2 linked regions of the Arabidopsis thaliana genome follow. The protein of the gene in region 1 interacts with the protein of each later gene in a pairwise test. Each region holds a gene or a part of one and is shown in the gene's direction. Other genes may lie near its edges.

Evidence for each region. The genes of interacting proteins can lie anywhere in the genome.
Region 2: the proteins of RAV1 (region 1) and HMGA interact in a two-hybrid assay, tested with the Arabidopsis thaliana proteins (one large-scale study listed by BioGRID).

What each region holds. Positions count from the first base shown.
Region 1 is NC_003070.9:4,540,264-4,544,515, forward strand, and holds RAV1 (uncharacterized protein), read left to right. Parts: upstream 1-1,904; 5' UTR 1,905-2,122; coding exon 2,123-3,157; 3' UTR 3,158-3,707; downstream 3,708-4,252. UniProt on the Arabidopsis thaliana protein: Binds specifically to bipartite recognition sequences composed of two unrelated motifs, 5'-CAACA-3' and 5'-CACCTG-3'. May function as negative regulator of plant growth and development.
Region 2 is NC_003070.9:5,137,616-5,141,088, reverse strand, and holds HMGA (high mobility group A), read left to right. Parts: upstream 1-1,621; 5' UTR 1,622-1,735; coding exon 1,736-1,819; intron 1,820-1,893; coding exon 1,894-2,424; 3' UTR 2,425-2,973; downstream 2,974-3,473. Other genes in the region: AT1G14910 (ENTH/ANTH/VHS superfamily protein), read left to right, coding at 6-84, 173-288, 424-1,161; AT1G14890 (Plant invertase/pectin methylesterase inhibitor superfamily protein), read right to left, coding at 3,385-3,473. UniProt on the Arabidopsis thaliana protein: Binds A/T-rich DNA with a highly dynamic distribution into the nucleus.

The sequences.
Region 1 (4,252 bases):
GCAACAAGTGCCACGTGACAACATACTCAATTTCTTCTAAGGAAAATACAACCATCTATTTCTTTTTGTCGCATACCCACCCATATATGATATACTTAGAACCATTTTAAGTTTTTTTAAAACATAAAAATACGATTTTAAATTTGAAAATTTGATTAGAGTGTGATTATCTAATTATTGTGTTGTCTATAAATCTACACAGTCACTACTTTCTACCACACTGATTTTAACAAAATCAATTAAAGTTGATCAGCACTTATTTCTTTCATATGGGCTTAAATGCCAATTTACTTATATATATTTTGATGAAAATGTGTGGTAAAACTTAAGAAACAAAAAAATCCTAACACTAATTAGCGCCTAGGTATTTTGAGCAATGCCTCTTTAACTTAAAAAGAAAAAAACGAAAAAAGACAAAAGTAATTGTCCTGCTGTCAAGAAATGCCCATATTATTATTCATCCACACAAGACACGTACGACCATGCCTCTTAGTGATTTGTCATTGGCCCACTTCCCATCCTAGTGGATCAAATTGATAATAAATACTATAATAAATAATTACAAGAATTCAAATAGAAACCGGCAAATCAATTAATAGATATAAAAAGGAGATATAAATCGTTAACATTTTCTATTGGAGCAGGGAGAGCCAATAAAAGTCGAATCTCACGATATTTCGCAGTTCTCTAATTGGCTCTTTGCATAAAAAATGAAACCTAACTAATGGGTAGAAGAATACTTTTGCAAAGCAACAAATATATCAGATAAGATCGTAAGCTATCCACATCACTTGTTAATTGTCCTCAAACCATATTATATAATGCAAACAATTTATGGCGTTAAATCCTTACGTATTTATTCTCTATAAGAGTAAAACACACACACTGAAGGCAACTGATTTAATTGGATTTCTATTGACCAGTAGAAATACTTGTTATGATGTCGGTCGCTCGTTGGCTAAGTATTTCTTATAAATATATAAGACATATTTAAAATCTTTTTACATTACATACACCCACTTATGAGAAACAAATATAATAAAATGTTGATACCAAATATATATATATATATATAATAAAATGGGATAATTACAAGAACAACAAAAGAGAGATTTTTTATGAATTTGGAATTGGAATCTATCGAGTGCATATATTATACGGACAATAATCCTCATAGCAATACACATTTTTTCTATAAAAAGAAACGTAGGATAAGATTATAGAAAGAAGAATAAAAACCTGGAAATGGAAAATAAAGAAGATATATATCATGAGTTCATGACTAAACAACTATTTATAGCTTTTTCAATAATAATATCATTCAAGAGTGAAGAATAACAATCAGATTTGGAAGAGAAAAAAATTTAAAGAGAGACACCATTTAACATCGGTAGGATCTGAACATGGTTATCAAATCTAATACTTTCTATTTTATTATTTTTCATATAGTTATTATCGTTACTATAGTATTATAGTGAATTAAAATTTTAAGCATCAAAACTCAGGGGGGATGAACTTCACTAAAATGATGTCAATATCTCACGTGGACCCTTTATCCATTCCATGGCCCACACATGGGTCCCACTTCCCCATGCACACAGCCCACAACATATTCATTTCTATATTTGTTCCTATACTCTCTTTTCTCTTTTTCTTACATAAATAAAATACTAACTTATTATAAGGATTATTATTGCTTCGTGTGTTTTCTTCTATAAGTTACATCAACAGTTCATGAAATAGACCCTAATATAGTAACCTAAATTAAATGCCGTATATTTCATTATGTTTCCACGAAGCTTCCTTTGTGTTCTTTGAGTTGACCCATACACACCCATCTTACTTCCCATGCACCTGCACATATACTATAATTACTCCCCTCAAACACGCATTCTTACAAATATATTTTTTGTTATTACCAAATAAAAAGTGAAACATAAAATAATAATATCAGAAGTGACACTTGCTGTTTCTTATTTCCCTCCCCCCAAGCTCTTTCTCCTTCTTTCTATATATATTATACACACACACGTATACATATACACAACATAATTCACAACACAACACAAACACATTTCTGTTTTCTCCATTGTTTCAAACCATAAAAAAAAACACAGATTAAATGGAATCGAGTAGCGTTGATGAGAGTACTACAAGTACAGGTTCCATCTGTGAAACCCCGGCGATAACTCCGGCGAAAAAGTCGTCGGTAGGTAACTTATACAGGATGGGAAGCGGATCAAGCGTTGTGTTAGATTCAGAGAACGGCGTAGAAGCTGAATCTAGGAAGCTTCCGTCGTCAAAATACAAAGGTGTGGTGCCACAACCAAACGGAAGATGGGGAGCTCAGATTTACGAGAAACACCAGCGCGTGTGGCTCGGGACATTCAACGAAGAAGACGAAGCCGCTCGTGCCTACGACGTCGCGGTTCACAGGTTCCGTCGCCGTGACGCCGTCACAAATTTCAAAGACGTGAAGATGGACGAAGACGAGGTCGATTTCTTGAATTCTCATTCGAAATCTGAGATCGTTGATATGTTGAGGAAACATACTTATAACGAAGAGTTAGAGCAGAGTAAACGGCGTCGTAATGGTAACGGAAACATGACTAGGACGTTGTTAACGTCGGGGTTGAGTAATGATGGTGTTTCTACGACGGGGTTTAGATCGGCGGAGGCACTGTTTGAGAAAGCGGTAACGCCAAGCGACGTTGGGAAGCTAAACCGTTTGGTTATACCGAAACATCACGCAGAGAAACATTTTCCGTTACCGTCAAGTAACGTTTCCGTGAAAGGAGTGTTGTTGAACTTTGAGGACGTTAACGGGAAAGTGTGGAGGTTCCGTTACTCGTATTGGAACAGTAGTCAGAGTTATGTTTTGACTAAAGGTTGGAGCAGGTTCGTTAAGGAGAAGAATCTACGTGCTGGTGACGTGGTTAGTTTCAGTAGATCTAACGGTCAGGATCAACAGTTGTACATTGGGTGGAAGTCGAGATCCGGGTCAGATTTAGATGCGGGTCGGGTTTTGAGATTGTTCGGAGTTAACATTTCACCGGAGAGTTCAAGAAACGACGTCGTAGGAAACAAAAGAGTGAACGATACTGAGATGTTATCGTTGGTGTGTAGCAAGAAGCAACGCATCTTTCACGCCTCGTAACAACTCTTCTTCTTTTTTTTTTCTTTTGTTGTTTTAATAATTTTTAAAAACTCCATTTTCGTTTTCTTTATTTGCATCGGTTTCTTTCTTCTTGTTTACCAAAGGTTCATGAGTTGTTTTTGTTGTATTGATGAACTGTAAATTTTATTTATAGGATAAATTTTAAAAAGGGTTACTTAGATATGTCTCAAGAGTTTTATTAGCATGAGATGATGAAAATGTTGTTACCAAATCTTACCTTGGTTTCTTTTCATTTTATGTGTATGGGAACTCGTATTTATATGTATGCATTAGCTACTGCTTATGGTATTTGCTGCTTTTTGTATATAGATTTGAGGAGTTATGACTTATGCGTACGTAATTTTATAAAATAACTCCAACCAAAAGAGAAAAAGTTTGCAGGGTCTGTAAACGTATATAATCGTATGATGATATGATAGACCATACTCCGATACAAATAACCAAAGAGAAAGATATTTTAAAATGAATGCTATTTAAGCTTTTGCAAGATATTATTTTAAGCTTCAGAAATTATTGTGTTGGTAGAGAGATTCATGTTGCTGTTAAATAATATATATGTATTTATAATTCTATCTACTACTTTTTCGGCTTAACTCAATCTAGATATTTGTTTCTAAAAGTGTTTTAGTTTTCTTTCTTTCGCTGGCTGCGACTATGAGTATCTTCAGATTCTCTACAAACTTAGGTATATATAGCTATTTATTTCGAAGGAATTTGATGGTTAAAACGAATAACATTAAAACTCTGTTAATCTCTTACGAAATGGTATATAGTATATGCGTTAGAGTTTGAACATATGATGATAATAGTACACCTGCCGCATACATTACTATGTACCTACATAAAGGAATATATTGACCATTGATCTAATGAATGTTCCGTTCATATGCACTTTCTTTCGATACAATTCGGTGGACTATAACATTATTCCATTATAGCATAAAATCCTATTATACAATTAAAAATGCCCACGCAATTTTACGTATACTTTTGTCTATAACACACATCCACACATAATTCAAGTTGTGTTCAAATAGTAACACAGCAGTAGCTTTAGTGAAAATTATTAGACTT
Region 2 (3,473 bases), 600 kb from region 1:
CACAGGGTCTGCATGATGATACACCTGATCCGTTAGCAATCCTGGACCAAAATGCACTAGCTTTGGCCTTAGTTTCCAATGATGGTGAGCTTCTTGGTCTATGTACTGGAGCTCTAAGTTTGCCTTTCTTGCTTGTCTTTAGTCGCAATTCTGGTTATGTTTCTGTTTCCAGTTGATTCTTCGCCGTTTAGTTTTGGGCAAGCAAGAGATTTGGATCCGTCAGGATGGGAGCTTGCGTTGGTCACAACACCTAGCAATGATATATCTGCAGCCACAGAGAGACAGCTGGTAAGATGTATTCTTGTATTAGTGATAATGGGATGCATCAATTACGTACCATTGTCCTGTTAACGTATGTCACCTCTGGGGAATTGATTTTGTGGCTTCTGAATCATTAACATTTTTTTCTGCAACAAATGCAAGGCGGGTGGATTAGACACGCTCACCCTGAACAGTCTATATGACGATGGAGCCTTGAGAGCAGCCCAACAGCCTGCCTATGGCGTCCCAGCTTCCAATCCGTTTGAGGTCCAAGACCTGTTTGCATTTTCAGACAGTGTTTCACCGCCTTCAGCCGTAAACAACCCATTCGGTCTCTATGAGCCAACCTATCATCAACAAGAGCAGCAGCCACAGCTACAGGTTGCACCCAGCCCTGCAAATCCTTTTGGTGATTTTGGGGAGTTTCCAATAGTTCCGGTTTCAGAACCACAAAGCACCACCAGTTTTGGGGCATTTCCAGTACCGGTTTCAGAGCCGTCAAACACCACCGGCTTTGGGGAGATTCCAGTAGTCCCGGTTACAGAACCGCCAAACACCACCGCGTTTGGGGAATTTCCAGTGGTGCCGGTTTCAGAACCACAAAACATCACTGGGTTTGGGGCATTACCAGTAACCCCGGCTTCAGAACCATCAAACACCACCGGTTTTGGGGAATTTCCAGTAGTGTCGGTTTCAGCACCACAAAACACCACTGGGTTTGGGGCATTACCAGTAATCCCGGTATCAGAACCGTCAAAGACCACCGGTTTGGGGGAATTTCCAGTAGTCCCGGTTTCAGAACCGCAAAACACCACGGGTTTTGGGGAGTTCCCGGTAAACGCAGGTGCTCATGAGCAACATAACAGCAACAACCCCTTCGGCAGCACGGGCTTCTTGTGATCCCATCTTCGTATATTTCTCAAAATGCTTTATTTGTCTCATATGATTCTATTGTTTGTGAGTAGTAATAAAATCACATCATCTTCTAGTCTTGCAAATCTTGTTCTGCTAATAGAGAAAGACTCCTCGGGATTGATTATATAAATGAATTTTCATTGGTGGAAAAAAAATGAAAGATATATATAACTCATTGTGTTACATTAACAAAATAATTTGAAATATGATTAGCAAAAACGCTACGTAGTATGTCGTTTTCTGTTCTAGTAATCCAGCTAGGCTGAACCAATGGCCATTCGTTGAATAAAAAAGGAAGATTGGAGGAGAATTAGGTAATTTAAGGGTAATAGTCAGCAGAAGTCATTCCCATATGTCCACGTCAGTAATCCTGCTCGAGAAAGCTGCTATAAACTCAGAGCCGTTGGATCAACCCGTAAGTTTGAAAACCCCAACCGTCAGATCAACACTACAAGTTAATATGAGAATAATGAGAAAACCACTTTCCCAAATTGCTTTTTAAAATCCCTCCTCACACAGATTCCTTCCTTCATCACCTCACACACTCTCTACGCTTGACATGGCCTTCGATCTCCACCATGGCTCAGCTTCAGATACGCATTCATCAGAACTTCCGTCGTTTTCTCTCCCACCTTATCCTCAGGTGAAGTACACCCCTAAAATCTCTCAATCTCTCTCAATTTAGTTTCTGAAATTTTGGTTGAAATTTGTGTTTAGATGATAATGGAAGCGATTGAGTCCTTGAACGATAAGAACGGCTGCAACAAAACGACGATTGCTAAGCACATCGAGTCGACTCAACAAACTCTACCGCCGTCACACATGACGCTGCTCAGCTACCATCTCAACCAGATGAAGAAAACCGGTCAGCTAATCATGGTGAAGAACAATTATATGAAACCAGATCCAGATGCTCCTCCTAAGCGTGGTCGTGGCCGTCCTCCGAAGCAGAAGACTCAGGCCGAATCTGACGCCGCTGCTGCTGCTGTTGTTGCTGCCACCGTCGTCTCTACAGATCCGCCTAGATCTCGTGGCCGTCCACCGAAGCCGAAAGATCCATCGGAGCCTCCCCAGGAGAAGGTCATTACCGGATCTGGAAGGCCACGAGGACGACCACCGAAGAGACCGAGAACAGATTCGGAGACGGTTGCTGCGCCGGAACCGGCAGCTCAGGCGACAGGTGAGCGTAGGGGACGTGGGAGACCTCCGAAGGTGAAGCCGACGGTGGTTGCTCCGGTTGGGTGCTGAATTAATCGGTACTTATGCAATTTCGGAATCTTTAGTTACTGAAAAATGGAATCTCTTAGAGAGTAAGAGAGTGCTTTAATTTAGCTTAATTAGATTTATTTGGATTTCTTTCAGTATTTGGATTGTAAACTTTAGAATTTGTGTGTGTGTTGTTGCTTAGTCCTGAGATAAGATATAACATTAGCGACTGTGTATTATTATTATTACTGCATTGTGTTATGTGAAACTTTGTTCTCTTGTTGAACAATTATTGCTGCTTTGATTTCATTTTCACACTTAATAATGAGGGGAAAACTATGTAATTGGTAATGCTAAACATTCATTATTGTCACTAATTTAATTATGCTACAGTTAGCAGAAGAAAGAATCACTGTGGAATCAGCGCGGGAGTTGAAAATTTCAAAGGGAATTCAATTAGAAAAATCTGTGAAGCGAATGTGTGTAATCATTATCAATAGGGATTGAAATAGAAACTGTGAACAGAGTATGGAAGCTTTTTGGCATCCCCGTGAACAAAAAGGACAAAACCTTGTTTTCGTAAAGATTTTAGAGTGGGCCACTAATAGACAAACTTTGGGGTCATAGTCAGATGTTCTAATCATCTCACGGGTTTCAGTTCCCCTTAGACATGATGGCCAAAATTCATCCATATCATATCCAAATTCATCAAAGAAAAAAAAAAAAAAAAAAAAACCAGGTTCATGTATCAAATTTACTCATCAAAACCATGTATAATTATCTTCATTACTCATATAGCACACACCATATAAACACATATGACATATATTAATATTAATACAATCAAACATAGATTAATGTATAATTTGAACACCCAAACTCAGAGTTCTAACTCGGTTTCAAAGCCTCGAATACACATTATAAACTAAGCACACAACTTAACACATATATATATACAAGTGTTTTTATAACTTTAGGAATTTCAAGACCTAGCTTAGTTAGTTAGGCTCCATTGTTGGCGTAGGTATTAACGAGAGCGAGCGCATTACTCGTGAACCTCTTGACGTCGGCGACTCTATCGCAAATAGCCG